Oryzias latipes: one gene and its partners. The main gene of each other region encodes a partner of the protein of the gene in region 6 in a complex. Links are inferred from orthologs where the notes say so. Each region holds a gene or a part of one and is shown on either strand. Other genes may lie near its edges.

Region 1 (5,040 bases), on a different chromosome or scaffold from region 6:
AGTAGGATTACAGATGTTTCAAGGCCGTAAACCTCCTCACTACACACTTTTTACACTTTTCTCAGACAAACATGAACATTTTCACACTTGTCTCTCTTGTTTAAACTCTCAAAGTTCTGTTTTATAGAATGAAAACAAAGATCTGATTGTGACAAAAGATTGATGTAACTCTGGTAAGATGAGCACATTGTGTAAAGAACAGAGAGGGGATTAATTGACAAGGTCAACAGCCAATCAGGACGCACAACACAGTGCTGTAAAAAGAAAAAAAAAACGTGCAGAATTGCAGTAAAAGAAAGCGAAAGGTGAACTGTGATATAGCAAGGGAACCCTGAAATCATAGTATTCATTATAATCTTCAAGTGATAACACTTACAGAGGCTTCAGGTGGACTTTGTATTTGACTATAACCCAAATTCAAAGTATGGTATTCAACTGTCCCATGCAGAGATCTTACCTGGGCTCCCATGGCGTCGTAGTCTCTGGCTCTAGTGAAGGAGCGCCCCAACTTGGAGATTTTCCCGGTGGCTTTGTCAATGGTAATAACATCACTAAAAAGTGTGTTTAAAGACAAACAAGAAAAGCTCCATTTAGATAGGACTGAGAAAAAAACAAAACCCAAACCTTTATATTGCTTTATGAGGAGAAGATGAACTCACCCGGCTTGAACTTTCTCTTTACTGAGGCTTTCAATCATCTTGTTCCCCAAGTCATATATTGTCTCCATCTCTGTAGTCTTCAGAGTCAGCTTCCCCACCTTTGCACCCTGATTAAAGCAAACCAGCTCAACATGAGGCGAATCAGCTAAATAAATCAACGTTTTCTAAAGCTATGGTATGGAAAGACTGTTTATGAAGTGAAAGGATCTTACTGTTCCAGTGGCGGGTCTGTCAATCTGGATTTCTACCACCTCCCCTTCAATGATTTCTGTCTCCTCTCTGGATTTATGGGGGGGAAGAGAGCGGACTTAATTTCTATCCAAAAAAAACAACCTAAACCTTGTTTATATACTTACTTGATTCTCACTCCTATAGCTTTTCTAAAAGCTTGGCTCAGTGCTTCAGTTTTGCTCATTTCCAGGGAAAAGATCTCACTTCCAGCCAGAGCTGTAAAGGGGGTGTCAGGGCCCAAAGACTGAGCAATACCTGTAGATGAAAGAAAAACATGCAACAAGCCTCAAATAGCCAACAGAACTTTGCCTCAGGTGGAAACTTGTATGCATCATTTCTGGTCCCATGCTCACCCATAGCAATAGCCGTCTTCCCCGTGCCCGGCTGGCCAGCAATCAGAACGGCCCTGCCGGCGATGTGTCCGTCTTTGATCATCTCCAGGATTATCCCTGCTGCTCGACGGGAGGCCAGCTGGCCGACCATCCCCTGTGACACCTGCAGGTGAACAGGGAACTCAACTCGTTCAGCAGCAAATATGCCTCATTCGGATTTTATCCTTTGACTTAAGGGACATTTTGAATGCTTTAAACAAGCTGCTAAAAGACTTTCCTGTTGGAATCACAACATGTGGGTTTAGTGCTGACAACAGGGCTTTAGAATCAAGTCTCGCTTTGCTACTTGACTACCTCTATACTGCTTCATGTTGTTTCCACACACAACAAAACATTAAAAGGTACATTCGAAACATTTTAACCTCTCAAGTTTAACAGCAGTTTAAAAATATCCAAATATGTTTTCCTCTGTTAAGTTTTTGCCTTTTTAAAGGACATGAATTACAAAAAAAAGCCATAATTTTATCAAAACTACAAACACCTAAAACTACTGAAGTCTTGGGTCAAAACAGAGATCAACAAACAGAAGTGCTGCACGTTACCTGTCTGGGCTCCAAAGCATCGTCCAAACCAAGGCCCCGAATGTGAGAGTGGGCCCCTAACCACACAAAGATGAAACTATTACACAAAATATTACAAACATACGGGAAATCATAGCAAAAATAAATACACACAGCTCATGTAGAGATAAGGCATGTTCTAAAGTTTACCATTCAATTTAAGCTTACCATTTATTTCTAAAGTGTTGAAAATCTGCATGGGGTCTTACCTATTCTTTCAATCCGTGTAATGTCCCGAACCTCTGGCACTTTTGTAGTTGCCATCTGTAGAATAATACATCAATGACAAGAAGAAAACAAAAAAATGCAAAGAAACATTTTTAAAACAATTTGCCTCATCGTAAACAAAAGAACAAATATTTTCAGAGGAGTTTAGGCCTTCGTTGATCTTTGACTAAATCTTAAGAGCATTTTTTATTGTTTGTTTAAAAATCCTGCTTATGAAAAAGAACAGCAAGAATTCCTTATGTGTGTGTTCAAATATCGATGACACTTTTGGATGTTTATCGTTTCCAAAGAGAGTTAAAATTTGCATCCTCCATTCACCAATGTTTTAGTGTTTTCCACATAGACTTTGTCAAAGCAATATAAATGTGGAATTCCTTTTATGCTCCACTTGTCCTGTCCGTTGTCATAGTGACAGCAATGAATGACCACACACAACACAACAGCAAAGCTTAGTCAACACTCTTTGACATTTTAAAATATATATACGCATATTTGTGAAACATATCTAGGAAGGAAAGTATTAGTAAATCAGGTTTAGAAAAATTGACACTTCACTGAAATTAGTTTATTTTCTAATATGAATACGGGGGGAGAAAATCGACAGGTAACATCAGCTAACGATATTAGCAAACAAGCTAGCATCATTCACACCGTTCATAACGCAAAACAACAGCACACGCCATATTAGCCGGGTAATAAAAGCCTGCATGACACGCGGAAGTACTTAAAAATAAATTGGCTATACTACTTGGGTGAAAATATTAAAGTCCAAATTGATTTTAACATCTACTACAAACTCAGGACTCACCTCCGCAGCCACACTTAAAAAACGTGAGAAGCGCCGCTTCTTTCTCAGGGAGTACTGGTTAAATGTGTCCGACAAGAAACATGCGAAGCCGTTCAGTTCCGCTACTAGAGTTTATTGGGACTGCCCTCTATAGACTCAAATGTGAATTACAAATCTGGCGTAAAAGCCCGGATTTGTTTTTGAGATGAAAGCTACGTTTTTGTCTTGATCGTCACGATAATGATAACCTGAAAATACTTAAATACTTCGAAATTATCTTTCTGTGTGTCAAATTTACTACCTAACAAATAATGTTTTTGGCATTTTTGATACCTATAACTATTAGAACTGAAATTTTAAGCATTCAAATACAGATTAAAGATTAGAAAGAAAAATAAACTCAGGTTGCTAATAATTTAAGACCTGGATTGCAGTCATCTGAACAAAATAAAACCAAGGAATCTAAAATTGTAGTTTAAAAAAATACTTTAAACTTAAAGAAATGCATAAGAAAACGTCACATTTTAAACAACTTATCATGCTGTTACCTTGAAAAAAAGATAATTAAACCTAAAACATCACAAATATTCATATATTTATTTCCCAACAAATGTAAAAATATGATCATGCATTAAAAAACATGTACTCCCTTAATATGCACTGCTTTTATAATGTGTGCTTGAAGTCCTTATGGTAATTTTCTCTCTTTATCATGACTTATATAATCCATAGGTGATCTCCTGAACCAAAACTGGTCAGAGAAACTAAGAGGTTTCAAAAACTTTCCATTTTGACCCAAAAGAAACCCTGTTGGTTTGCAGAGGATGTGACTAAACCTGATTAGTCTGAAGAAAAGCCCAGCAGCACTGCACAGATTTTTCCACTAGAGGATGCAAGATTAATGTTGTGCAAGGATCCTCATATAGACAAAGTTATAGTAAGAGATCTACTAATAAACCAAAGTTATAGGATTGATGACAGAAGCCACATGAAACTAAATGATGCTTGTAGAGATATTTCAGTTAGAGGGAGTAAGTGTAAACAACCCCTACATAAGGTATGAAGTGTAGGAATGGGTGTTGTTTCTTATTATTTACCTTGTAAAAAAACTGCATCTCCCTTTTTTATTTGCCAAGTCTGAGGATAATCTCTTTATCCTCAGAGAAATTGTTGAAAATGTTTAGACGAAATAACTCGAAGGAGCAGACCCCTCTGAAGTGCTACAGAGGGGGTCTTAATATCCTTTCCATAAATCATCAAATTCAACCCTCAAGGCTGAAGGGTTCCAGATCATAATGTTTCATTCAGGAAACAGATGGATGCTGAAAATGACAGGTTCTTCAAGACTGAAATGAAAGAGACAAGGATGAAGCAAACTCATCGTTGTTTCATTTCAGGCGTCAGTTGTTGGGTGTGGCAAACAAGTTCAGCAGCACCCACTTGAATTGCTGAGAGGCACTCACAAATTGCATTTTTTGTGTAGACGGACCAGAGTCCGTTGGGTTGAGTGACTTTGGAAACACTTCATGGAGCAGCTCTTTTGTCTTTTGTGCCGTTTTAGGTCCAGATGTCGATCTTTGCTTAAATCCAACTATTGGAGTTACTTTTATGAAATCCTTTTACGACAAATTAGTCTATCATCAAGGCACTGCTGATTGTGAACTGTCAAAAGACAATGCCTCTGTCATACAGTGTAGGAGTGGTGGCGGGGTAAATTCCTGTGACTTGCCACAGAACAGGATGTTCCCCGAGATCGCACTTCCTCCAAACAGGCAAATGAGTGTGAGGTCCTTTCCGTACGAGGTTCAATTTCATGTTAAATCTAGGTGTGTCTAGTAGTTCTAAATGTTACATTTTTATACCTGATGTTCATGTTAGTGAGCAAAAAGGGACAAGAAGCTGAAAGTTGTGGTAAAATAAGTTTTACTTAAATAAAAGGATGAAAAATCACAGCATGAAACCAAATGTTTATTGATAAAATACAGATACAAAATGACTAAAATAGGTTTGAACTGCAGTAAGTTGTTTTCATCTTTTCAAACTTTACATTCATTCAAAGATTATTCACATTCATCACAAATCACTTCCCCTGATTAGTACACATGTAAAAAAATTCTACATCTCTCTTTGAAAAAAAATCTAAATATATATATATATATATAAATCAAATCTTTTTGGAAAAG
Region 2 (4,404 bases), on a different chromosome or scaffold from region 6:
ATGCTCTGTTGTTGATCTTCTGACTAACATACTGCTAGCTCATTTGGCTACTCTGCTGCACAACCTGCTGTTTGGTTGCACATGCGAGTCATTACTTTGATGTGTAGCTTTAAATTTTGCAATAAAAAGCGTTGCATGGAACTATTTTCATTAACACTGAATGATTCTAAAATAAATACGTGTTTTGTTTTAGCACATTAAAAAGATTAAATGATGTCTCAGACATTTATCCGTTACAATCACAAAAATCTCTATTTAAAAGCAGAATGCAGGAAAACCCATAAATGAATTGAACACATACATCATGGCTAAAACAGGAAATAAACCATGACTACGTTTTCATGTTAAAGCATTTCTGCCAAATCTAAGTTTAATGAGAAACAGAAGCTGGACGGTCTGCTAAAACCCAATCAAAACGCCAGGTGGTAAGCAGGTCATCAGGTGTTTGAGTGGCTTCATAATCTACTCAGGTGAGGAAAGGACCATCTGGTCCTCAAGAACTTCCTCCCTGCCTGTTTTCCAGTTCTCCCTGCATCACTTGGTGCTAAATCAGTCCAGGTTTAGATGGACTGAATGCTCCTGACCCAACAACAGTAAAGGCAAAGACAGCTAGAAGAATAGTTGCCACTCTGGAGAACCAACGTTTGGCATCTCCACTCGCCAGTGGGAATTTTATTAAATGTAAAAAGATTTGGATTCTCACTTAACCTTGAGGAGAGGCAGATTTTGATGTTTATTTTTCTATACAAGCATCGAATTCTGAAGTTAGAGACAAGTGGTGTCAGACATGAAGTCACATACAAAGGCAGTACTAGAAAGAATGGTTAAATGAGATAAGATCAGGACTCAAAATAAACGCCCACACTCGCACTGTGCGGCTTTGTCTGTGGGGAACTAAGCTTACAATGTGAGACGCTCCGCGATCCTCCAACAGAGTATGAATCATTTTCAGTGCCGGAAGTTTCCTCACTGCTGTCCTCATGGAAGGCGGAGCGTGGAAATGATGCCTTTCCTCTGCCCTGCTTAGACGGGGTTGTGCTGAGACAAAAACACACAAGAATATCATTACCAGTTCAACACAAACGAACAAATAAAAAGCCTACTTGTTTGCTCTGAAACTACGTCTAATTGGGGGTCTCTTTGACTGCAACAAAGGGTTTAAAGCAAAGTACCTGGTCCTGTCAGATGCTGCACTGCTGCTGCTGCTGGTTGTGGACTCAGAATCTGAGCTTGAACGAGGGAGACGAGACTCACTTCTGTACACACGGAAACTTTCCGTCACAGGCTGGTTTCCTGTATCAAAGCCGTTACTTGGTAAACCTGAGAGTAAGAGACACAGACAAGAAAGTCAGTGTGGGACTTACAAATGAAACACTACAAGCATGAATTTTCTTTTTTTGGAAAACGGCCTAGATTCTACCTGGGAGCAAGTCGTCATTGTCACTGTCGCTGTCAGAGCTGGAGCTGGTGTGGGGGCTTCGGGGCCTCTTCCTCGGCTTGCCCGTTGGCAGTAAAGCCAGCTGTGGGGGGCCGATGGGGCTTTGGCTCACCCCAGCACCAGGATAGCCAGCATCCCGGTTCTTTGGGGGACGCCCTGGCCTTTTGGGGGGTCCAGCCATTTTCTGGTTCTTCTTAGAGAAAAGGACGGACGTCCTACGTCCAACCTCTGGTGCTAGAGAAGAAGAAGATACAGTTAGGTCCTATTGCACAGACACAAACGAATGTTCATTTTTCTGATAGTCAAAATATTGTGATAGTGTCTGAGCATTTTCAAAACATGCTCAGAGACTGACCTTTTCCTCCAATTTCTTGACTGCTGCTCTCTCCACCCTCATCATGGTGTCCTGCAGAAGATGAGTGATGAGGGAGAGACAAGCCCCGGTCACCCACAGACTCTCTGACCCCCATACCGGAGCCTCCCTCCCGCTGATGCGCAAGCTTCCTCTTGATCACGCTGATCTCCTTTCTTAGAGCTTTGGCTCTGCGAGACTGACCGATGCTGTGCTTTCCTGAGTTGACCTCGTCGAGGCGCGCCTGCAGGTAATGCAGCTGCTCTTCCAGAGGCAGCCGCCGCCTGTTCTCTGGCAGAAGCAGTTCTGTGGGAGGCAGGGATTGTCATAGCTTTTGAAAATCTGGCTTCACATCAAAACTGTTGAATGTGTGGAAAACAGAGAGAAAATGGCTGTTTTAGTGTAAACAACTATTTAGGTTTCTCAAAAAGAAAGAAAAAACAAATTGTAAAAATTATATTTTGTGTTTTTTAGGAATATACAGTAAAGTGAATGCAGTTAAAAAAACTGTGGCTGCATTTTAGGCCCAATTCAAGTGCATGAATGACATACGCCATCTATTGGCCATATGCATTCACTGCAACCAAGATTTGAACACTTTCTTTGCATCAAAGTCTGCACAAAACTGTTGTTATATCAACATTTTAACAAACAATATGTTGCAAATTGGGATACAGTGTTTTGTAATTTAATTTAATTCAGTTCATTTATAAAGTGCCAGATCACAACCAAGGTTTTCTTGAGAGACTAAAAGGGAGAAAAAATGAGCTTGTCAGCACTGTTGCCTCAAAGCCAGAATGTCCCTGGTTCAAATCCCAACTGAATCCTTTCTGTGTGGATTCTTTTCAGATAGGTTGGTCCCACAGTCCAGAACCATATTTCATTGAATATTTGGGGACTCCAAGTTGCCCCTCAATAGTACATGTGTGATATTCTCTCATGTCAGGGTCAGACCTGCCTTCATCCCATCATAGCTGGGTTAGGCTTAAGCAACAACCATAACCCCGCTTTAGGATGAAGCAGGTATAAATAGATGAATGGATTATGTAAATCAGTGGTCCCCAACCTTTTTCAGGCCTCAGAGGGGTTTAATGTCAGACTACATTTTCACGGTCTGGCCTGCAAGTGGCTGAAGTGGGAGTCCTTTTTATTTTCTTAAGCCCCCACTTTCCCTTAACTTGTGAGAGTAAAGTTTATCTTCATCTCCTATAAAATATCCGCATCTGCTTTAAACTTTACTTGTAAGCTACATATTATGTAGAAGCCATTACAATGTGATATAGATTTTTCCTTAACCCAGAAATTACAACGTGGAAGCTAAAAATCAGCTCACTTCAGTCTTATCAGACTCTTACGGTGTGATGGATAAATAAAACAAGTAAAAAAAAGTCGCTAAAACTGGTATTTTCTAAAAATAAAAATAAATCCACCACTTGATCAACTTTACAGTCAGCATCCCTGTAACATTAGACATATGGTTGCCGAATATGATGCATTTTTATGGTGTGTGAGAACAACTGTTGCAATAAATCCATATTTAGAGTAAAGACTCCTGTTTTTTTTCTGATTTCTTTAAAGTCAAAGGCGGATTTTCTGTTTCCTCATTGGCACTTTTCTGTGTTTCGAAATTCTCCAAATATGTTTATTTTTTGCTATCTTTTTATTTAGTGGTCGTTGCAGCTGCTTTCAGAAAATAGTGAATAGATTTTTTAACACGTGATCAAGCAGCTTGACATGTCTGATGACTGATTTAGATGTGGTGGGGAGAATCCAGTAGCTTTCTAAAAGAAAACTTCCTTCAAAATAAGATTATTTAAAAAACTGAGAAAATGTAGGTCATTTTTTTCCCCCACGGCTGCCTGGTACCATCTGTCCCACGGACAGCCACTGGTCCTCGGGACAGGGGTTGGGGACCACTTGTGTAAATTATCTTATCCAAATTCCTCAAAAATGAATGACCCAGATGTTTTCTACAAATTAGGACATTTATTTTTTTCCTCTTCTTCAAATGTTTTGACCAAAAAATCTTTAGGAAAAGTGAAAAAGAAGCACCTACCATCTTCATTGGAAGACAGCGTCCGCTCTCTTTCTCTGTCCCTCTCTCGTTCTCGTTCCCGCTCTCGGTCTCTCTCCTGTTCCCGACGGGTGTCTGGGCTAGTCTCCCGGTGAAGGTGCATCCCGCTCTCATAGTCGAAACCTATCCGATCAGCTTGCCGCTTCGCGGCCCTTATGACTGCCCCGCCCATCTCTCTGAGCCGCAGGGCAGCGCGGTAAAACACCGTGTCCTTAGCATTGTATTTGAGACAGTTGTTAACGATGAGGCCAAAGTCCCCCTCGAAGGCCTCAAAAGTGAGGTAGCGATGGGACTCCAGCAGGTTCCACATGGTCTGAAAGTCCATCGGAGTGTCAATATGCTCCAGGTAATCTGGAACCTGCAAAGTAAATGGAAATGATCAGTAAGAAGATGCAATCCAATGAAAATTGTGTTTTTGGGGTTTTGTAGCATTTGTCTCATGATGAAGGACATACTTTTAGGAAATTAACCATAAAAACTGCATTTCAGAGTATTTCTTTATTTCAAATTGTTGCAAATCAGGGGCTGATGCAAAAAAAC
Region 3 (5,201 bases), on a different chromosome or scaffold from region 6:
ATAAATCCTTTAGACTGCGTTTTTTCCTCATTTTGATGCTCAGTTCTGTGCATAACGTGTATCTAATGTTGCTCTCAGCTTGTTCTTCTCAACAGGAGGGCTGAGATTGGACAAAATACTGTGGTAAATGACTAACTTTAGCCAAATGCCAGTCAAGAGAGTCATCTAAAAGAGTCTCTGACTCACATTTATTTCCTCTTTTTTTGTTAAAACTCAACCATCACTTAAATATACTACCATTACAATCAGAGGCAATGATAAATATGACTTTAGCAAACATGCATTTATTAAATCTGTGATATGAAATTGTACTTATCTGGATTCAGGAGGAGTATTTTACATGTGGAAACATAAAGGGAGTTTTTTTGTTGTTGTTGTTCTACATTATCAGCAATCACATTATATATATATTCATCAAAACAAAAGTTTTCTGTCTAGACCGTCAATCATGGTATGTACACTTTGAATCTTAGCTGCAAACATTACTGTGAATGGTTATTTCTTCTAAAAGGATTTGATTTTTTCTGTTGGTGTTCATTGAAACTCTGCTGTAATTTAGTTTTTTAATTCCTAAACATTCCTGCCTAAAGACAAATGAAATGGAAAAAAAAACACACATAGCACATGGATAAAACAATGAAGGCAGAGATGAGTTTTGGACGAGCTGTGATTTCTGTACACATATCTCTAAATACTTTCATATTTGTCTTTTCTTAACTTGTAGTTGTTTTTTTTTTTTTAATTCTTTTTTGGATAAATGAACTTTTGTGGCATTATGTTGTGCATATTTGAAACTTGCTGTATAGATGATTTGATAAGCCAAATCAAGAATGTTTGAATGTTTCCTTTTAGCAAAAGGAGCCTGTGATTATTTTTAAAATGTTTCTTTTATACTTTGTTTTTCTTTTTTTGTATAAAAATGTAACATCCATTGTTTTGTACAAGTTCATGTGTTTTACGCTGTTATAAATAGAGAAACCAAATGAAAACATCAATGTGGTGGTCTATGATAAATCTGGAGTCAACAACAGATTGTCATTACGTTATATAAATCATCTTTAGACGTGTCTATGTAGACTCTCATTCATCCAGGTTGATTCCATCATAGTAGTAGGTTTAGTTTTACTTTGTCAATTCAGAATTGACAAAGCCTTTTGGATAAGAGGTGAAACGTCTTCTGACTTTAAAAACCTTAAGTCCAGATGACAACCCCTAAACCTACTACTATGATGAAATCCTCTTTAGAGATATTGATCATTGTAATATATATATATATTTTTAAAATGGCTGAAGTAAACTAGAACAGACATCTAAAACGCTTTTCTGGGCAAAAGGAAGGGTTGTATTTTATTTTTGAGACCTGCCCTGTTAAAAAGCTTCTGAGGTCAATTTCAGCCATTTTAATCAATATAAATAGAATTATGCATCTATTTTAAAACATATGTAAATATTTAATGGTTGAATAACTTAATTTGTTGGTTTAGCAATACAGTGATTTTCTTTTTGTGGCCTTTTTTTTTTTTAAACCTAAAGCTGTGGAAGTTTGATTAATATAAACAGCAAATATAAAAAATGAGATTTTATTGAATCAAACATTTTATTGATCGTCTTTGCAGTTGCTAATCCATTATTTAATTTGTGTAGATACATATTAAAATAAATAAGAGCTGTTGTGTTTTTTAAAGAAAACTTTATTAACAAAAGTTAATATCCATAATATCCATAGAAAGAGATTGTTGTTAACCGGTGGAGTTTAGGACCTGGAGGGGGCGCGGCACAATAGTGTCGTTGTGCCGTGTTGGTGGACAGGCTGCTGCCTTAAGATTCCCCTTCTGTTGGATTTGGACCCAAAAAAGATCCAGCATTGAAGTCCCAGTCCGGACCGGGAGGCCCTCCTTTTATTAGCATCTGTTAGCACGGTCCACCTGACCGCATGTGGACGTGGAAAAGGCCAGCCGCAGCGCGTGGAGAGAAGGTAGGACGGGGGTGAATGTGAACAATATGCCCGTGTCTACTCTGTGTGCGGGCATGGATTTGCCCCGGATTCATATCCGGACCACGGGGCCCCGCTCCTCACCCTGCTCCCCCAAACCTGCTATGCGTCCCGACACTCCTGATGTATTTTAGCAACCACCTATTTTTCTTTTAGTTCGTAGCCATGTGTTTTTCCCCCTCTGTGGGACGCTCCTAGTTGGGCCATCCCGATGTTTGGCTCGCCGTCGCTCGGAAGTGACATCTTTGTATGACGGTGGCGCCATGTTTGATTTCAGCCCGCTTTGGGCCCGCGCGAGGCTGAGTCAGCGTGCGAGTTGGCGCCAATACTGCTCATAAAGCAACAACTTTAGACTTTTTTTCCCCACGTGTTTCACTGGTACTCCATTAAAGTTTACTTATCCAGATGCGGTATCAGCGCCCGCATGGTGTACAAAAGGAGTTTTAAATATGGCGGCATCATTAGTTTCCTACTGTTTTTGGCTTTCTTTGATGTGCTGATAAATATTCTGGGATCATTGAAGAAGCTAAATCAACAAATTTACATCTTCTTGACCCGCAGCTTTTGTTCTGTTTGCAAAGTTTATCATTAATTTAGTGACAACACTGATTACTGGTCCTTACCGTGAAGTTTTCGGCCCCGTAGTATTATCTGGCTGATCCCTCTTTCGCCTGGAGCATGCGCACATCTGTCACTCTTAGATCTCCTTTTTGTTTTCTTTTCTAAAAAAAAAAAACTTCTCTTATTCTTATTCGAAAGGAGAAAAGATATTTATATTTTATACTTTAAATACTTAGAATAAAAGCAAATAAAAAGTGAAAAAAAGTAATTGAAAAAGGTACTAAATATAAATATATACATGCATATCGGCAATATAGTGTATATGTGTGCTTGTGGATGACTTCATTCAGTTTAGAATAACAGTCACTGGCAAGTTTATGTCTTATTTCTATATTTGAGTTCCTGGAATTAAGTCATAGGGTTTATTGATTCTATATTTGTAGCAATTCAAGTTTTTTTTGACTGTGTGATTCTGTTTTTTTATTTGCTTGTTTTTAAATTGTTCCATATCCAGACTCCTTGAATTGAAACATATCTTTCCTTTTTTCTGAATTTTGACAATGAGACAAATCAAGCATCCTTTTAAACTATGATTATTATTCTTTTTTTTTTTAATATATGTTATGGAGGACATCTTTTTAAATTTTAATATTTTTAAAGACGGTGTAATGGACTGGATGGATCTCCAGCTTGAGTTTAAAGTCTGATGAGTAAAGGAAGCAAAGTGAGTTGGCTCAAGGGCACTTTGGCATTTAGACCAGACGTTAATATTCGAACTTTCTAATCTACCCAAATAAACAAAAACAAAAAGGAGAAAACATGCAGTTCAGTAAATATCTAGGCTAAAATAAGGCAGGTAAAGGGATTTTTTTCAGCCTTTGTATAACACATTTTAACAACAGGATCAAAATTAACCATTAAACTTCAGCTTTATTATTATATCAACACGTCGTCATCGTTCTAACAACAAAAACTATATTATGAATTACTATATATTAATACTTAGTGAGATATTACTCAGATTTAGGTTGTTTTTATTGAATCATTTGAACAAATTCAAAGACACAAACAAACATGACAAATCAAAATCAGGTTGGCGTCCTCCAGATTCATTTACATCTTGGAAAAAAAAGCCACAGTGTTGCGTTATTATGTAGAGGATGTATGGTTGACCTGATCTTTGCTTGAAACTTATGTTGGATTTTTCAAATCCTCTCCTGTTTACCTCCTGCAGATGTGAACACCAGTCGTGGTTAAACATGTATAAAGAGAAAACTGTCCATGCGTACTTTTTACTCAGCAGTATAACCTTACTGCGGTGTGGAGCAGAGCTGGCTGCAGGCCCTCTCATCCTCCTCCTCGTCCTCTTCCTCCTCATTCACTCCTCATGGGGAATGTGAGGCATGTCCTGTCTGTTCAAACGGTGTACTGTACACGGCCCTTAGCAGTTTGAAGTTTAAATCACTCATTTATTGGGCTACAGGTGTACGAATGATGTCTATATATATATTTTATTTAGTTCGTACTTGCATTCCTTTTTCTTTATACATTAAAGTATCTAATTGTCTTTTTTTGGGAGGATTCTGCAACAAGAACATGGTCATCAGAACTGTCATCACTAACTCTTTGATGCTCTTATTCTGAAAATAACTCCCCTTTTTTTGCAGATAAGAAGCAAAGTGGGAATTTGGCAACTGGAAGAATCTACTAGCATGCTTTTCAATTGGAAATTTATGGTAAGCAATGGTCTTTTTCTTGAACAGTCTCTCCATGGCCTTCCTTGGTCAGTGACGGCCTTCTGATGTGTGCTCCATCCTCTTGTTCTCCCACAGGATGTTACAGGATGAAACGTCTCAGGTTGTCCAGCAGCAGCGACAGTTCTGACAATGAAAGTAGGTCACGTGTCTTGGACAGCATTTTTTCTCTTAATGTACCAACATTATTTACACTTTTGGGTCTTCGTCTAGGTCCTTCAACCTCCTACTTCTCTTCTAACAAGTATGATAGCAAACCTGGAACCCCCGCCTCCAACCCAAAGAAACCGGCTGAAGTATGGGCATCTTTTGTACGGTCAGACTGTACGCTCACTGTGGAGACGTCTCAGGACCGTGGGCTTGACTCCTGGTGGCCTCCTGTCTCCCACAGGTGTTCCGAAAAGACCTGATCAGTGCCATGAAGCTGCCCGACTCCCACCACATCTCCCCAGAGGACTTCTACCTGCTGGCAGACACCTGGAAGCAGAAGTGGGAGAAAGGAGTTCAGGTGCCGGCGAGTCCGGACACCATCCCGGAACCCTCAGTCCGGTGGGTGGGCCGACTTTAGCAAGCTTCCGCGTGAAACCGGATCAAGGCTCCTTTCAAGGCTGCTGACACATTTGTTGTTAATTTCTCAGGGTGATCGCAGAGAAGTCCAAAGAAATGCTTTTCAGCCACCAGAGGAAGAACATCCAGTGTTCGGGTCAGGAATCTGCAGAACCGGGTTATGTGAACATCAGAGAGCTGGCAGAGGCTATGTGTCCATATGATCTGGATGACATGGACCTTTACTGGCTGCAAGCGCTCAACCAGGAGCTTGTCCTCATGGGTAAGAAATGGAGGGGGGAATTTTTATTCCCTCTAGAACAGTGTTTTTCAACCAGTTGATGATC
Region 4 (4,981 bases), on a different chromosome or scaffold from region 6:
TAGATCAAATAAAAAAAAAAAAAAAAAATCAAGCTTAGTTTGAGTCTAAACGTATCAGACGATGAAAAATCTTACCATGTTAATCCTGGCATCTTGAAGCGCCATGGTCCATGCTCTGTGTTAAGAAGCAGGAAAAGACGTCAGTCTCACTAAAAGCTTCTCCACAGAACCCAAGAACTACATTTGATCAAAGGTGACACCTAAAGAGTCTTACAGAGCATCATCTGCACTGTCAGCACACAGGCTGATGACACGCCCGTCCCTGCACACTATCTGCAGCAAGGCATCACGGGACTTCCCCTCCGGGGGGGTCAGATCTGACAGGAAATGCAGGAAGGCCCACAATAAAAAAACTCAACGTTTAACTTTAAGGGTCAGCAACTGTCACAGTATCGCGGATGCTGAAATTCACCCTGGCATGCAGCAGAGTTGCGGATGTTGATGCAGCTGACTCTCATGTGGATGTCATCCTCCATGTCCCGCCTCTGCTGATCATTGTAGAACACCAGGCGTCCGTCAGCCCATAGGTCAAACCAGTTTCTCTTCCAGCGGCGCAGGATAGTACCTGCGATGAAAAGAAGCAGCTTCCATCAGCATCTGAACCTCTTTTTTATTACAATTAAATATAACTAATTGTCCAAAACATACAGAACAATAACAATGAGGATGCACATGCATTACAAAACATACATCACAAAAAATTAAAAATGTTCCAGGGCAATATTTAATTATTACTGTTTTGTTCTAATAAGATTCTAATTCTTTTGTTGTTACAGGGATTATTTTTAGAAACTTTAGATTTGTGAATATCAAACTTACCAAATATAATAAATTAATTTTCATCTGAAATTTGAAAACAACGTTGAAATGTATAAAACATTTTTTGTAATATTTCAGTTCCAAAATAGGTGACTCAATGTGTCTAGCTGCTCTTTGGGATGACCTGCATAGGCCGCGCATGCGCGTGACTCACTCTGTCTGTGAAGCCAACCGCTCTTCACCACAGCCATCTGAGAAGACACAACCAAACATGCTGGAAGTGAAACTCAGCAGAACCCCAAAAACGGACTAAATCGACAACAAGGCTCGATGTGACCTGAAATATGTTAGCAGTAGCTACAACTTCCGCTTTGACATGTTACATACATTCTACTAGATGCAGAAAAATTTCCCCAAAGCCGCATTTTAGCCGCAGCGTAAATTTAATACCAACAAAACAGTTTGGAGGCTCAAGCAGTCATAGATGCTATATGGTTGACGTACGTACGTAACCGCGCGTGTGACTCGACAATTCGTCAAAAGGCAAAAAATAATTTGCAACCAGCACGAGATGAGAAGCTTCTGGAGCGGACGGAGGGACCTGCCTGTTCCGTTAGCCGGACCGGACGGACGGACAGAGAGGCTGCAGGAGCCCCGCCCACCGAGACGTTTGTTTTGAATGACGCAACGCACCAGCTGACCGAGCTGGAAAGTGCTGGTAATCTGAGCGGGAACGCGCATGTGAAGGTCTCGCTTGGTCTGCGGGGTGGTGGAGCTGCCAGATCTTCGGTCGGTTTCCCGGTGTTTGGAGCGGAGCGCAGGTCGACTGTCTGCGGAAATACCGTCTAACTACAATCAGTCGAATGCTCTGGAGACGAGACGGGAAGAGAAAAGTTTGAGCGGCGGCGGAGCGGAAGTCCTACAACGACAGGGACCGACGGGCGACCCGGAGTTACAAAACAAACTTAGCGTAGCTTGGTTTGGCTAGTAGTTTGGAAGCTAAAGAGCGCGCGGGAGCCGAACTCTCCGTCAACAATGGCTACTGCTATATACCTGGAGCACTACCTTGACAGTGAGTATCCGTAGAAGGTCCTGGAGGAGTTTTGGTTCGGGCTTCTTCGGTCTTTTTCGTCGCCGTGTGGCTGCGGGTAGTTTAGCAGACGGTAAAGACTAAAGTGTGTGGTAGTAGCACACCTAAACTGATTATACGTACATGTTTGTGACGTCACTTGGGTTGACTTGTGATGGCTTCACAGATTCACGCCGGAGCAGAAATATACTGAGACGAAACCCTTTTAGTTTAGTATTTCCATTGGAGTCACGTTTTTATTTATCTATTTTTATTATTGAGGGATTTTTAACTCAAGAACTGTTTTTCAACCCCGCGTGAAGGCGCTTCCGTTTGCTGCCGGGACTTCATGATGTGCAGCCTGTGCAAACCGCCTTTTTGGTTACTGCGCAGGCCCGGTGCCCCCCTGACTCCACGCCCTGCAGACGAGCCCTTCCAGCTGACGCTGGGTGGCGCTAGAGCGCTGTGCATCCTGTCAGCCCCACCATGCTGAGCACGACCATGATGTGGAACAGGGGCCACCTACATCCTTAGAGCAGCGTTTTTTAACCAGTGTGCCGTGGGAGATGGTCATGTGTGCCGTGGGAAATTGCCCTCATTCACTGATCTAAAAACATTTACCATCTCCAGGATTTCAGCTCAAAAGATCGGATACGTCTCAGATTCAGGACCACATACCCAAGGGGCCTGGGTCACATTTGAAAAGATGGGATCTGCGTCGTCCAGACTGTCATGAAAAGATCAGATACAGGTCACAGGGGGGCAAAAAAATCGGAATTGGGTCGTTTCAGTCTGTGGTGTGAACGTAGCCTTTGACGTCTTGAAACCACAACGAACACGCATCAAACAGTTTTTAAATATTTTAACTTAACTTTTATTACATCTTTTAGAAGAAACAGCTGCAGCTTCCAGCTTTTTCTGCCACAATTATCACAGAAATGCATGTGAGATTGTGGAGGGACTGTACATCAATACAGACTAAGAGTTTCTCCCTTTTCTTTATTTTTGGATGCTGGTGTGCCGCGGGATTTTTGTCAAGGTTTAAGTGTCCCGTGGCTCAAAAAAAGTTGAAAAACACTGATCTAGAGAGCAAGACTAGAGAAAGCCAGAAGGAGCTGCATTTCCAGAAGAAAATGCAAGGTTTTAACGTATATTGCTTAATGAAAATGAAACTAAAAGGGTAAGAATGGGCACAAAATAAAAAATTAAATAAAGAAATGTTCAAAGTTGACCATAAGTAAAGTAAAAACGGCAAAATAATAAAGATATTTTTGTGAAAAATGCCAGACAAGTTTCTGCACCCAGGATTCCCCATGTATTTCAATGGAGGCAAAAATCATGGAATATCTGGAAAAGTTCAAGGATTTGAAGGACCAAAAGTCATAACTGGAAAAAGCTGAAAGAGCTGAATAGTTAAAATAGCTGAAAAATTGTAGAAGGAGATAAGCGGCCAAAAATGTCAGAAGATACTATGATAAAGAAAAAAAGAGAAACAGGAAAATAATGGGTTTATTTATAGCACTTAACCAATAAAAGAAGAGAATCCAGACGTCAACATAAACCTCTATGCGTGGTCTTTCAGCTACAGCTTGTTTGAGAAGCCATAACACACTGATGTATACATCCCTTTGAAACTTCAAATGTCTTTGAAAACATGTTTTTGGTGGCGGATCTTTCTTTATTTCTTACTCGTTTTCCTGAGTCCTGGTGGAAAATGCCAATTAATCGCAAATTTATCGATGTATCGTGATTTCAAGCTGTGCAATATCCATATCGCAAAAGTCAGCGACAATTTCAATAAATGGTAAACCTTAAATGTGCTAAAACAATCTTATGGCAACGTGAACTATTTAATGAATTGAATAAATCTCTTTATCCATTTGACCAATCAGATGGAGCCCTTCCTGTTGTTGACCAATCAGATGGAGCTTTCATGTTAGATGTTGCCCTCTTAATTAGACGAAGGTCATTTGGAGAATAATTTGAGGTATTTTGACCCTTATTTAAATTATACTTTGCAGTGAAATGGAAACGTTTTTGTTGTTTTGCTATTTGTTCATTTATCGCAAGTTATATCGTCATCGAATATTGATCACTAATATCCCATATTGCGGGTTTTCCTCATATCGTGCAGCCCTATTTGATACTATCTGTTATATTTGGTGACCGGCTGTTCTGGGGCAGAACAGGCATGTCTCCAGGGGAAACTACCCAATGTCTGTCCAGCGTCATGATCCCATGTCTCCCTGTGTTTACTTCTCCAGGTATTGAGAACCTGCCGTGTGAGCTGCAAAGGAACTTCACGTTAATGCGGGACCTGGACAGCAGAACTGAAGGTAGGGGTTTTATCCATTAACCTTTTAGCCAAAGGCGACAGAAAAGGAACTTTTAGAAGATGATGGCTTCTTCACTGAAACCCATCATCTGTGGTAGACATAGAGGTTTTTCTGCTTTCCTTTGAGTTGTCCGTCGTTGTGGCTCAAAACATTTCTGCTCCTCTGCAGAAAAGAAAGGAGAGATTGACAGACTGGCAGAAGAATATATATCCAACGTGAAGAACCTGGCTTCAGAGCAGAGAGTGGAACATCTACAGAAGATTCAGAACGCCTACAGCAAGTGCAAGGAGTTCAGTGACGACAAAGTTCAGCTCGCCATGCAAACGTATGAAATGGTGAGCCTTCATGACACGCCTGACAACACGCCACCTTTTTCCTCTCAAGCATGCCTTGTGAACAGAGCCGTTTGAAAGACGTCTTCTTCTGTTCTAAAGGTGGACAAACACATCCGCAGGCTGGATGCAGACCTGGCCCGCTTTGAGAACGAGCTGAAGGAGAAGCTGGAGCTGACCGGCTACGACAGCACCGACAGCAGAACCTTGAAAAGTAAATCCTCCCGCTGGAACCTTCTCGGCCAAAGTTTGCATTGGGGGGCTTATTGTTTGTGACGTTTGACTCAGAAGGTGACTCACGGGGGCAGCGGGACAAGCGTGGATCCAGAGGACGGGGAAAGAAAGGTTCTGACGACGACTCTCCCAAAAAGAAGAAGATGAAAATCAGGTAATGTTGGTTTTTGTAAAGCTCGGGGGGCTCTCACGGTTTTTACTTTCCTCTTTTCATCTTTGTGTTTTTCGGCACACCCCTCCCTTCATGAATG
Region 5 (5,000 bases), on a different chromosome or scaffold from region 6:
GCCTGCGTCCCTCTCGTTCTGTCAGTTGCTGGACTAGAGGTAAGATCGGGACTAATACAGAGTTTAAAAAAGAGCCTTTGGACAGCCGCAAGACCACGTTCTTTCTTGGACTCCAACTTGTCTTGGTGTCTTACCGCAGACTGATGGCACAATGTCCGTTTTATTTGTGTTAAAACTGTCGAAGATTTTTATTTTCTGTCCTCTGACTGGCAGCACAGTGCCGTTGACATTTTAGTCTGGTAATTGTTCTCTGATGCTACTTTTTATAGAATAAATGGGAGATCCTGATTACAAGAGTGAAGAAAGCAGTTGCAGATACATGGAGAAGTTTTTAAAACGAAAAAATGAAGTACAAAGTTATGCCAGTCCCCCTTCAAAGGCGAAATTTATACGAAAATACAACCCTGATTTTATAAAGTTCGGCTTTGTGAACGGAGGCAGTGAGGCAGAGCCCAGTGTGTTGAGTGTGGGCTAACATTATCCAATGAAGCACTAAAACCGTCAAAATTAAAGCACCATCTGGAAACCAAACATCCGAAGCTCATTGGAAAGCCAGTGGATTATTTCAAAAGAAAGGATGATGGGCTTCAGATGCAGAGGGGGTCCATCGTGTCACTGACTGGCGACGCTAAGTGTGCGTTAAAGGCCAGCTACCTCGTAGCCAGACGTGTGGCGCAGAGTAAGAAAGCGTTCACCATAGCGGAGGAACTGGTTCTGCCTGCCGCTGTGGACATGTGCCGTGAGATGATTGGTGAGGCTGCAGCAAAGAAGCTCAAGACCATCCCGCTGTCGAATGACATTGTGAGTCACCATATTGCTGACAGGGCCTCAGACATTGAGCAGCAGCTTCTGGGGAGAATAAGACAGAGCCCCTTTTTCTCTTTGCAGCTGGACCAGTCGACTGACGTCACAAATGCTGCGCTGCTGTTGGTTTTTGTTCGCTACCGGTGGGATAGCTCTTTGCAAGAAGACATTCTGTTTTGTGGAGAATTTCCAACTCGAGCTACAGCTGAGGAATGTTTCCGCTGCATGGATAACTACTTCACTGAGAATGGCCTTGACTGGCAGAACGGTGTTGGAGTGTGCTGTGATGGCGCAGCGTCAATGACTGGCAGGCATCGCGGTGTCATCAAGCAGATACTTGATCTTGCGCCAGAAGCTAAATGGACCCATTGTTTTCTCCACCGTGAAAACCTTGCAGCAAAAAAAATGTCTCCAGAGTTCCATGAGGTGATGGATGTCACTGTGAAAACCATCAACTTCATTCAAAGTAATGCTGTGAACTCCAGATGTTTTGCTCAACTTTGTGAGGGCATGGAAGCAGATCATGTCCAAGGCAAGGCAAGGCAAGTTTATTTGTATAGCACAATTCGTACACAAAGTAATTCAAGGTGCTTCACAAAACAGAAAAATGCATTAAAATCACAATACATCATAGAAATAATCAACATAAAATTTACTTTAAAAGAAAAGGAAGAAAAAAAAAAGATTTAAAAAGAAAGGAAGGAAAGAAAGGTGCAGATAGGCAAAACATAGATCGGTGATTTCCTTATGAAGTGATTTTTGGTTTATAGCAGCGTTTCTGTCCTGATATTTTCATCACAGACAAACAGACCCGTTGCTTAAGGTCTCAGCAGCTAAATAATCTCAGGCCAAGCCCACCTTCTGTTTATAATATTAGCGAAAATCTTAAGTAAAACATCTTTATTTGGTGCAAAGTCCAAAAGTATGCAAGTTAAACTACTATTCCCATGATGCATTTCCTTTAACAACAGGAAAAACCGCGCCCTCATTGTTGAACCAATCCGAAAGCCGCGTACGTCACGCAGGCGCAGTCTGACCTCATTTTTTTTCCAGTGTTTTTGTCAGCGAGGCAGCGCCATATTGGAAGAAGCCGTTTCTGTCCTAAAACGGCCAAAGCGCGAACTTTGCCACCATGCTGTACCTAGAAGATTACCTTGAGAGTGAGTACCGGACCGGGGCGTCGCGGCGGTACCGACTTCGGCCCGTTATGTGTGCACAGTGTGTGTCTATGTGTGGCCGCCGCGTGCATTTCCGTTAGCCTAGCTGCAGCGGATGCTAACGTGTTTTTCCTTTTCCGGCAGTGATCGAGCAGCTTCCCATGGACCTCCGCGATAGGTTCACGGAAATGCGGGAGATGGACCTGCAGGTGCAGAGTACGTATTTCCGCCAACCACCGGGCTCGGCTGGGACATCTGCCGCGGCACGGAGACTCGAACCGCCAGCGAGCGGTTAAAAAAGGCCAGATTACCGGAGCTAACACACCTGACATGTCCGTGAACCCGGTGACACCTCAGTCACGTCAACGGAACTTATCAACCTTTCAGCTCGTTTAATAATTCACTAAGTGAGGTTTTGTAGAGCTGCGTGCGCCACTTTACGCATATGTGGCTGAGATTCTGAAGCCCCTCCCCTTTTTGTCAGGCGGTCATGGTGATCAAAGCACATCCCTTCATTATCCGCCGCCTTTCATGTTGACGTCATGACCGCAGCTGCTGTTCAAACTTTTATCACATCAGTATTTGTTAGTTGAGGCACATTCAGTCACTCATTTATCGTTATCCTGATATCAAGCTGTGATAAATGTAACTTTAAATGTGCTCAAACAATCTTATGGCAGCTTGAAGGATTTAAGGAATCACATAAATCCATTAATGCATTTGACCAACCAGATGGAGCCCTTTGATGTAGGGGGGGGGGGGGGGGCATTCGGAGTGTAATTTAACGTACACTTTAAATTTAATTGAAGCTGTTGCAGTGAAATGGAAATGATCTATTTAGATAGTTTGCTATATGCATCACAACTTATATGGTCATTGCAATATTCATCAGTAATGTTGGAAATGGCGAGTTTTGCTCATCTCGTGCAGCCCTAGTTCAGTTGTAAAGTCCTCCAGGGTCATCTGTGACCCCTAGCTGTTGGAGGGTCAGAGTTAGGTGGACTGACCCCCCCCCCCCCAGTCTCAGATCTGACCTCTGATGCAGTTGCAGGTGGAAGAACTTTGGAGACAGTAAGAGAGTTCTTCTAGGTTCCTGTCTGATCCAGAACCAGCACCAGAAAGCTGATGTCATGTGCTTTAGTTCTTTCCCGCCTCTTTGTTTCAGACGCCACAGACCAGCTGGAGCAGAGGGTCATTGATTTCTTCATCAATGCAAAGAAGAACAAACCTGAGTGGAGAGAGGAGCAAATGGAGGTTATCAAGAAGGTCTGGAATCTGCTGCTGGTTCTGGAGGAACCCGAAGGAACCTGTCAGATCTAGATTCTGTTTCTGGTGTGTTTCAGGATTATTACAAGGCCCTGGAGGACGCAGATGAGAAAGTACAGCTGGCCAATCAGATTTATGATCTGGTGAGTGGAACCGTCTGCCGCTCTGACCGGATGGTCTCTGACCTCCTGCACAGTGACGGTCCAGCTGGGTTTGCCGGATCGCCTGGAGGTTCCACCGTAGCAGGACGGAGTTCCCTGACAGTTTTGTCTGTCCCTAACACCACTGGGGAGGAGCTTTCCTCCCTCATCACCAACAGACGCCCCGCAGCAGCTGGACCGGGTCTACCTGCTGCACCGCGTCCAGAAGCTCATGTGACCTGTTGTCTCCTCTGCCTCCAGGTGGACCGGCACCTGCGGAAACTGGACCAGGAGCTGGCCAAGTTCAAAATGGAGCTGGAGGCAGACAATGCCGGCATCACAGAGATCCTGGAGAGACGTGAGTTCGATTCCAGAGCGACTCGTTGGGGCTGAAAGGCAGAGCGGTGACCTTGTGCTCTTCTCAGGGTCACTGGAGATGGACAGTCCCTCCCAGCCGGTCAACAACCATCACATGCACTCGCACATAACAGCCGAGAGTAAGCTGCTGCACGCCCTCAGCTCCGCCTCGTGATGTCAGGACCTCTGCAGCAGGTTCACGTGTCACCGTGTCCTCTGTCCACAGAGAGGAAGTGCAGCGCCCCCGCCCACCACACGGTGGAGCACATTCCTGAGAAGAAGTTCAAGTCTGAGGCTCTGCTGTCTACACTCACCTCGGATCCGTCCAAGGAGAACACGCCAGGTAGCATCTGCAGATAACAGCCATGCAGCTGGAGGGCGGAGCCTCCACGCAGCTAACTGCCCCCCCCCCCTCCTGCCCCCTAGGTTGCCGCACCAACAGCATGTCTGCATCCACCAACAGCGCCTACAGCCTCAACTCCTCTCAGCCCCTGGCTTCCTACAACCTGAGCGCTCTGCCCGCAGGACCCGGGGCCGGCGCCGGCGCCATCACCTTGGCGGCGGCGCAGGCCGTACAGGCCACAGCCCAGGTCAGAACCCGACCCCCATCCTAAAATCGTGCATGTCGGCCCCGCTGGTGGCGCTCCATCCCCCGTCTGTTCCGTCCCATCAGATGAAGGAAGGCCGCCGGACCTCCAGCCTCAAAGCCAGCTACGAGGCCATCAAGAACAACGACTTCCAGCTGGGCCGAGAGTTCTCCGTGTCCCGGGACGGCTCCTACTCCTCCTCCGCCCTGGCCTCCACCCTCACCCAGACGCTCACTCCCAGCACCACCTCTGACTCCAGAGGTCGGAAGTCAAAGTAAGTTACCCCCGTCCCACCGCAGGTGTCTCGGACCCGTCTGACCTCTAGTCCCTGTTTTCCAGGAGCAACATCAAGTCTTCCAGTCACCAGTCCTCCTCTTCCTCCTCCTCCTCCCTGTCCTCCTGCTCCTCCTCCTCGGCACTGGCTCAGGAGCTCTCTCAGCAGGCGTCGGCGCTGCCGGAAGCTGAGGCTAACAGCCAAGTGGACTGGACCTACGACCCCAACGAGCCCCGGTACTGCATCTGCAACCAGGTATGCCCGCTACCGCGCTGTGAGGTCACTTCCTGTAGGTTCCGCTGTTAACTGCTTCCTGTTGGATCTCGTCCAGGTGTCTTATGGGGAGATGGTTGGCTGTGACAACACAGATGTGAGTATGAGCTTTGGTGAGGTTCTGGAACCTGGTTGAAAGGCG
Region 6 (5,044 bases):
AGGACTTCTTGACATCCGCCACTTCAGTTATGCTCCGTAGGTACATCCCATGCAGTCCTCCCATGAGGATCTGTCCTCCACTGCTTCCTTTGCTCTCCATTGCCTGAGACATTCACTGAGCACACTGTCAGTTGGGGCCTTGAGCTTGATGTATTCATGCATGTTGGATGTTTCATCCTGGATAGTGGCTTCTACGCTCACTAGTCCTCGGCCTCCTTCCTTGCGGCTAGCATACAGTCTCAGGGTGCTGGATTTGGGATGGAACCCTCCATGCATGGTGAGGAGCTTTCGTGTGTTAGCATCCATGGTCTGTATCTCTTCCTTTGGCCATCTTATTATTCCTGCAGGGTATCTGATTACTGGCAGTGCGTAGCTGTTTGTTGCCCGAGTCTTATTTTTGCCATTGAGCTGGCTTCTCAGGACTTGCCTTACTTGTATGAGGTATTTAGCTGTTGCAGCTTTCCTTGTTGCCTGCTCCAGGTTGCCATTTGCCTGCGGAATTCCAAGGTACTTGTAACTTTCCTCAATGTCTTCCATTGTTCCTTCTGGGAGTGGGACCCCTTCTGTGTGGACTACTTTGCCTCTCTTTGTCACCATCCGGCTACATTTCTCGAGCCCGAATGACATCCCAATGTCAGTACTGTAGATCCTGGTGGTGTGGATCAGGGAGTCAATGTCACGCTCGCTCTTAGCATATAGCTTGATGTCATCCATGTAGAGGAGGTGACTGATGTTGGCCCCATTTCTGAGTCGGTATCCATAGCCAGTCTTGTTGATTATTTGGCTGAGGGGGTTCAGACCTATGCAGAACAGCTGTGGGGACAGAGCATCACCATGGTATATCCAAAATTTGATGGACACTTGTGCAAGTGGCTTCCCATTGGCTTCATTTCCTATGAAGAGTCCTTTTGATGTTGTACAGCTCCAAGCATTCAGTGATCCACGTGTGTGGCATTGAGTCATAGGCCTTCTTGTAATCAATCCAGGCTGTGCACAGGTTGGTGTGTCGTGACCTGCAGTCTTGAGTGACTGTTCTGTCAACCAGGAGTTGGTGTTTGGCTCCTCTGAAGACTCTACCAATGCCCTTCTGTGTGTTTGCTCATGTATTGATCCATGTGCCTATTTATCTTGGTTACAATGATGCCAGACATGAGCTTCCATGTTGTGGATAGACAGGTTATTGGGCAATAGTTGGTTGGGACTGCACCCTTTGAGGGATCCGTCTAGATCAGGATCGTTTGCCCTTCCGTTAGCCATTCGGGTGAGTCCCATGAGCAGCTGGTTCATTTGTGCTGGCAGACGCTCGTGGAGTGCGGTGAGCTTCTTTAGTCAGTAGGCATGTAACATGTCAGGGCCCGGTGCTGTGCAGTTTTTCATACCTGAGACTCTTTCTTGTATGTCTGCCACTGTGATGGTTACTGGATTCTGTTCAGGGAGGTTGCTATTTTCTTTTGTCAGAGAGACCAGCCACTGGGCATTACTGTTATGTACTGTCTCTTTCTTCCATTTACCTTTCCAGAACTCAGTTCAAGTATAAAACAAGGTAGGAAGAGGGTCCTTTCACAACGCTTGGGCGCCACCTTGCGGTCTTATCTTTGTCGGCACCAACGCGTCTCCAGTTTTCCTGAGCGCGCGCGCCTCCTCCCGTCGGTTCCGGAACGAGCCATCATGTCGATGCACGCGAAGGCGACCCCGCCGCAAATCCCGGACACGCGTCGGGAGCTGGCGGAGCTGGTGAAGAGGAAACAGGAGCTCGCCGTGAGTCCGCAGTTCTGTTTCAGCGGGTTAAATGTTTTTTTTCGGAACCCGGGTTTAGCGCGCCAAGCTGAGATACCCGAGCATTAGCTTATGCTAGCTGAGCTAGCAGGCCGCAAAACCTTTATTGTGAATTGTCCTAACTAAGCATCGACCAAGAACAAAAACACTTTATCCTCACATCGAAAAAAACATTTAAAGTTTGTGTTTCTGCGTTTCATGTTTGAATGTTTTATTTTTTCACGTTTTTTGACGAACAAAATCCAAATTAGTTTACAGACCTGAAGCACGAACAGTGTGTTCTCGCGATACCTTACGTTTTGAAACTCTTTATTGTTCAACACCGTTGTTTACAGAGTGGAACCTACTAAGATTTAGTAGTGAAAAACCAAGTTACAATCGCGTTACATTTCTGTCATAGGTTATTTTTCTTATCTTTTTGCGACTTTTACTGTTTTCATCTCTAGTTGTGCTTCTAGTAATACTCTAAGTAATGGAAAATGACCTTTATTGTAAAGTACTAGTGCGTCACTTAAAATTACTTTTTTTGTCTAACATAAAACGTTTAACAACAAATTTGCTTAATTACCCAGTACTGTAGTAGTAGTTTTTTTGGTTTACATACTCGTTTGGTTTACATACTCGTTTTTTAACATGTTGTTATTGTTTGGACGACTACTCTTTAACTTTTGCCTCCTTAACATTATTTAAAATAATGTTTTGCTTGTACTTGAAAGATGTTTCCCGTCAATTTATTGACCTTTATTGACAATAACAAGCGTCAAATTCAATTAAAAAGTCTCAAAATGGAATTTTTCTTGAATTTAGTTGGAATGTATAAATGCATGTATCCATCATCTACCACTTCAAAGATAGAAAATGTTTTTCTAGTTGTATACTGACTCTGCAGTCTTGTGGATTTCTATAAACATTGAATTTAGTTCATAAATTGGAAAATTAGATGATTGGGTTGATCAACTAGGAAGAGAAAGACCAATTCTGGAGCTGAAAAATTCAAAGTTTACCTCAAGTGGCTAAATAATGAAACAATCTTTACCAGAACCTCAAGAGGATTTTCAAGTTTTTGATGGTAAAAATAAATGAATGAAATAAATTTTAAAAAAGCTATCTTTGTGAAAAGATAAGCACTGATCTTAGCTTGACCAATCAGAACGTCTGCAGTAAAACCGTTTTAACGACACAGGAGACGCTGGTGAACCTGGAGCGGCAGATTTACGCCTTTGAGGGCAGCTACCTGGAGGACACTCAGATGTACGGGAACATCATCCGAGGGTGGGACCGATACCTGACCAACCAGAAGTGAGTGTGAATGCGGCAGACTCCGGTGAGGTTAGATCTTCTGTGCGTTTGCTGATCGGGTCCTTTTCTTTTTCTGCGATCAATCAGGAACTCCAATAGTAAGACTGACCGGAGGAATCGCAAGTTCAAGGAAGCGGAGCGTTTGTTCAGCAAGTCCTCTGTCACGTCCGTCGCAGTAAGTACTTCCTGCGCGTGATGCGTTCAGCCATCTCATGTGAAGTTGCTCCTCAGTGGTCTCTTGTGATTGGCAGGCAGTGTGTGCGCTCGGCGGGATCCCGGATCACATGAACGAGAAGCGTGAGTCAAATTTGCCTACTTTCCTGGTGCCTGGGCCTCCTCAGAATGCCGGTTCTGACTTGTTGCCTCCCGGGGGATTCCCCAGGTGAGGCCGGCAGCGGCACAGAGAGCGATGCGTCTCCAGACCTTCAGAACCAGGAGAACGAGCCGAGTCAGGAGGACACGGAGGACGTGGACTCCACGCTGCACGACCTGAAGCCTCAGAAAGCCGCCTCCTCTTCCTCAGGCAGCCATCACGGGAGCTACAAGAAGAGGAAGAACAAGAACAGACACAGGTGAGGTGTGGGCGGGGTTAAAGCTGAGCCGCAGCAGATTCACCAGAACTTTTCTGTTTAAATTTGGAGATTTACAGCTTTAACAAGGCAAACTAATATATTTGTGTTATTAAGATCAAGAGAACAGATTACACTTAATAAAAATTACAATAATTGAACATTTTTACAAAATATGGTGATTTTTTTTTTTTTTTTTTTTTTTTCCGTCTTCTTCTGACTAAAAAAGTTGAAGTAGAAAACGTTCATTTCCTAAAAAAAATGCTCGTGTGATTGCTGAAGCTGGCTACAGATGATGATGATGATGATTAGGGCTGAAACGATTCCTCGAGTTACTCGACTTACTCGATTACAAAATTTCCTCGAGGAAAAAACTCTGCCTCGAAGCCTCGTTACATTCCTATGACGCGCACTATACGCAGGGATTTGATTGTGTCACACGGACCTTTTGAATTTAGTTGGCGCGATGGCGGAGAATAGATCTATAAATAAACGGCAGAAATTGTCTTAAGTGTGGGATCATTACACACTTAATAAAGAAGAGAACAAGGTGCAGTGTCTGTACTGCAAAATAGAGCTGGCATTCCACAACAGCACATCTTCCATGATTCAGCATCTGAACAGAAGACATCTGCGCGACCGCTGGAACCCCGACGCCTTACCCGCGCGTGCCGCCGGCAGCGAGCGAGGGGCGGCGGGCCGTGGAGGGGGCGCCGATAGGCAGGGGCTGGGACAGGCGGTAGCTCGCCTTTCGGCGGACCGCAAGGCTTCTTAACATTTGCATCAGAGCGGATCTTTAAAATCAAATGCTTGTTCATTTTACAACCACATCATTTTTGTTATGCATTATTTGTTTTGGTTGTTCAAAAACGCACACAAATCGTTTTATCCGATTACTCGATTAATCGATCGATTAAGTGCTATATTAATCGATTACAAAAAGAATCGATAGCTGCAGCCCTAATGATGATCATGATGAAGCACCGGAGGATCTTTTGAGGCTGAAACGTTTGATTTAAAAAAAAAAAGATAACTTGAACGAATGGACTGGGTTGGATCTTCATCTTCATCCTGTGGTTGTGTTCAGTAGAAGCAGGAAGATCATAAAATGTTTGATATCAGATGAAGATCTTCTGAATCTGGACTCTTAATTGATCACCTTCAGACTGTTTCTTTGCAGGAAGCCTCTCCTCTTCTTGATGGTTCTCAGCTTTTGTTTTTCATTTCTTCATTTTCCTTGACTTGACTTTTCTTTTTCTCTGTTCTTTTTATCTCCAGATTTGTGTGTGTTTTTTTGAAGTTCTGCTCATTAAAAAAAAAAAAAAAAAACAGATCAGCTGGGACTCCTCCACTGATCCCAAATGTCCCGTCGAGCTTGTTGCTGATTGTAAACGAGTTCT

Evidence for each region.
Region 1: meaf6 (region 6) and ruvbl2 share a complex: the UniProt entries of both Homo sapiens proteins name them as parts of the nuA4 histone acetyltransferase complex. The link is inferred for Oryzias latipes from reciprocal best matches to the Homo sapiens genes MEAF6 and RUVBL2.
Region 2: meaf6 (region 6) and brpf1 share a complex: the UniProt entries of both Homo sapiens proteins name them as parts of the MOZ/MORF complex. The link is inferred for Oryzias latipes from reciprocal best matches to the Homo sapiens genes MEAF6 and BRPF1.
Region 3: meaf6 (region 6) and jade3 share a complex: the UniProt entries of both Homo sapiens proteins name them as parts of the HBO1 complex. The link is inferred for Oryzias latipes from reciprocal best matches to the Homo sapiens genes MEAF6 and JADE3.
Region 4: meaf6 (region 6) and ing5 share a complex: the UniProt entries of both Homo sapiens proteins name them as parts of the HBO1 complex. The link is inferred for Oryzias latipes from reciprocal best matches to the Homo sapiens genes MEAF6 and ING5.
Region 5: meaf6 (region 6) and ing3 share a complex: the UniProt entries of both Homo sapiens proteins name them as parts of the nuA4 histone acetyltransferase complex. The link is inferred for Oryzias latipes from reciprocal best matches to the Homo sapiens genes MEAF6 and ING3.

What each region holds. Positions count from the first base shown.
Region 1 is NC_019872.2:21,690,644-21,695,683, forward strand, and holds the start of ruvbl2 (ruvB-like 2), read right to left. Parts: upstream 2,989-5,040; 5' UTR 2,879-2,988; intron 2,107-2,878; coding exon 2,052-2,106; intron 1,881-2,051; coding exon 1,825-1,880; intron 1,386-1,824; coding exon 1,244-1,385; intron 1,146-1,243; coding exon 1,016-1,145; intron 939-1,015; coding exon 872-938; intron 767-871; coding exon 660-766; intron 552-659; coding exon 458-551; intron 1-457. UniProt on the Homo sapiens protein: Possesses single-stranded DNA-stimulated ATPase and ATP-dependent DNA helicase (5' to 3') activity; hexamerization is thought to be critical for ATP hydrolysis and adjacent subunits in the ring-like structure contribute to the ATPase activity.
Region 2 is NC_019865.2:17,245,083-17,249,486, forward strand, and holds part of brpf1 (peregrin), read right to left. Parts: intron 4,223-4,404; coding exon 3,847-4,222; intron 2,097-3,846; coding exon 1,794-2,096; intron 1,673-1,793; coding exon 1,421-1,672; intron 1,321-1,420; coding exon 1,173-1,320; intron 1,039-1,172; coding exon 905-1,038; intron 1-904. UniProt on the Homo sapiens protein: Scaffold subunit of various histone acetyltransferase (HAT) complexes, such as the MOZ/MORF and HBO1 complexes, which have a histone H3 acetyltransferase activity.
Region 3 is NC_019862.2:28,223,804-28,229,004, forward strand, and holds the start of jade3 (protein Jade-3), read left to right. Parts: upstream 1-1,762; 5' UTR 1,763-1,975; intron 1,976-4,221; 5' UTR 4,222-4,290; intron 4,291-4,386; 5' UTR 4,387-4,397; coding exon 4,398-4,446; intron 4,447-4,521; coding exon 4,522-4,604; intron 4,605-4,699; coding exon 4,700-4,857; intron 4,858-4,946; coding exon 4,947-5,137; intron 5,138-5,201. UniProt on the Homo sapiens protein: Scaffold subunit of some HBO1 complexes, which have a histone H4 acetyltransferase activity.
Region 4 is NC_019862.2:3,236,307-3,241,287, forward strand, and holds the start of ing5 (inhibitor of growth protein 5), read left to right. Parts: upstream 1-1,466; 5' UTR 1,467-1,794; coding exon 1,795-1,831; exon of another isoform or gene 1,832-1,912; intron 1,913-1,972; exon of another isoform or gene 1,973-2,161; intron 2,162-4,092; coding exon 4,093-4,164; intron 4,165-4,332; coding exon 4,333-4,499; intron 4,500-4,598; coding exon 4,599-4,710; intron 4,711-4,784; coding exon 4,785-4,884; intron 4,885-4,981. Other genes in the region: plekhb2 (pleckstrin homology domain-containing family B member 2), read right to left, coding at 76-115, 215-317, 413-565, 974-1,010. UniProt on the Homo sapiens protein: Component of the HBO1 complex, which specifically mediates acetylation of histone H3 at 'Lys-14' (H3K14ac) and, to a lower extent, acetylation of histone H4. Component of the MOZ/MORF complex which has a histone H3 acetyltransferase activity.
Region 5 is NC_019881.2:24,132,573-24,137,572, forward strand, and holds the start of ing3 (inhibitor of growth protein 3), read left to right. Parts: upstream 1-1,844; 5' UTR 1,845-1,936; coding exon 1,937-1,964; exon of another isoform or gene 1,965-2,021; coding exon of another isoform or gene 2,022-2,022; intron 2,023-2,105; coding exon 2,106-2,177; intron 2,178-3,126; coding exon 3,127-3,227; intron 3,228-3,304; coding exon 3,305-3,370; intron 3,371-3,628; coding exon 3,629-3,725; intron 3,726-3,792; coding exon 3,793-3,864; intron 3,865-3,950; coding exon 3,951-4,067; intron 4,068-4,150; coding exon 4,151-4,314; intron 4,315-4,397; coding exon 4,398-4,585; intron 4,586-4,650; coding exon 4,651-4,840; intron 4,841-4,916; coding exon 4,917-4,955; intron 4,956-5,000. UniProt on the Homo sapiens protein: Component of the NuA4 histone acetyltransferase (HAT) complex which is involved in transcriptional activation of select genes principally by acetylation of nucleosomal histones H4 and H2A.
Region 6 is NC_019869.2:19,900,115-19,905,158, forward strand, and holds the start of meaf6 (chromatin modification-related protein MEAF6), read left to right. Parts: upstream 1-1,524; 5' UTR 1,525-1,668; coding exon 1,669-1,758; intron 1,759-2,959; coding exon 2,960-3,075; intron 3,076-3,162; coding exon 3,163-3,250; intron 3,251-3,326; coding exon 3,327-3,372; intron 3,373-3,457; coding exon 3,458-3,647; intron 3,648-5,044.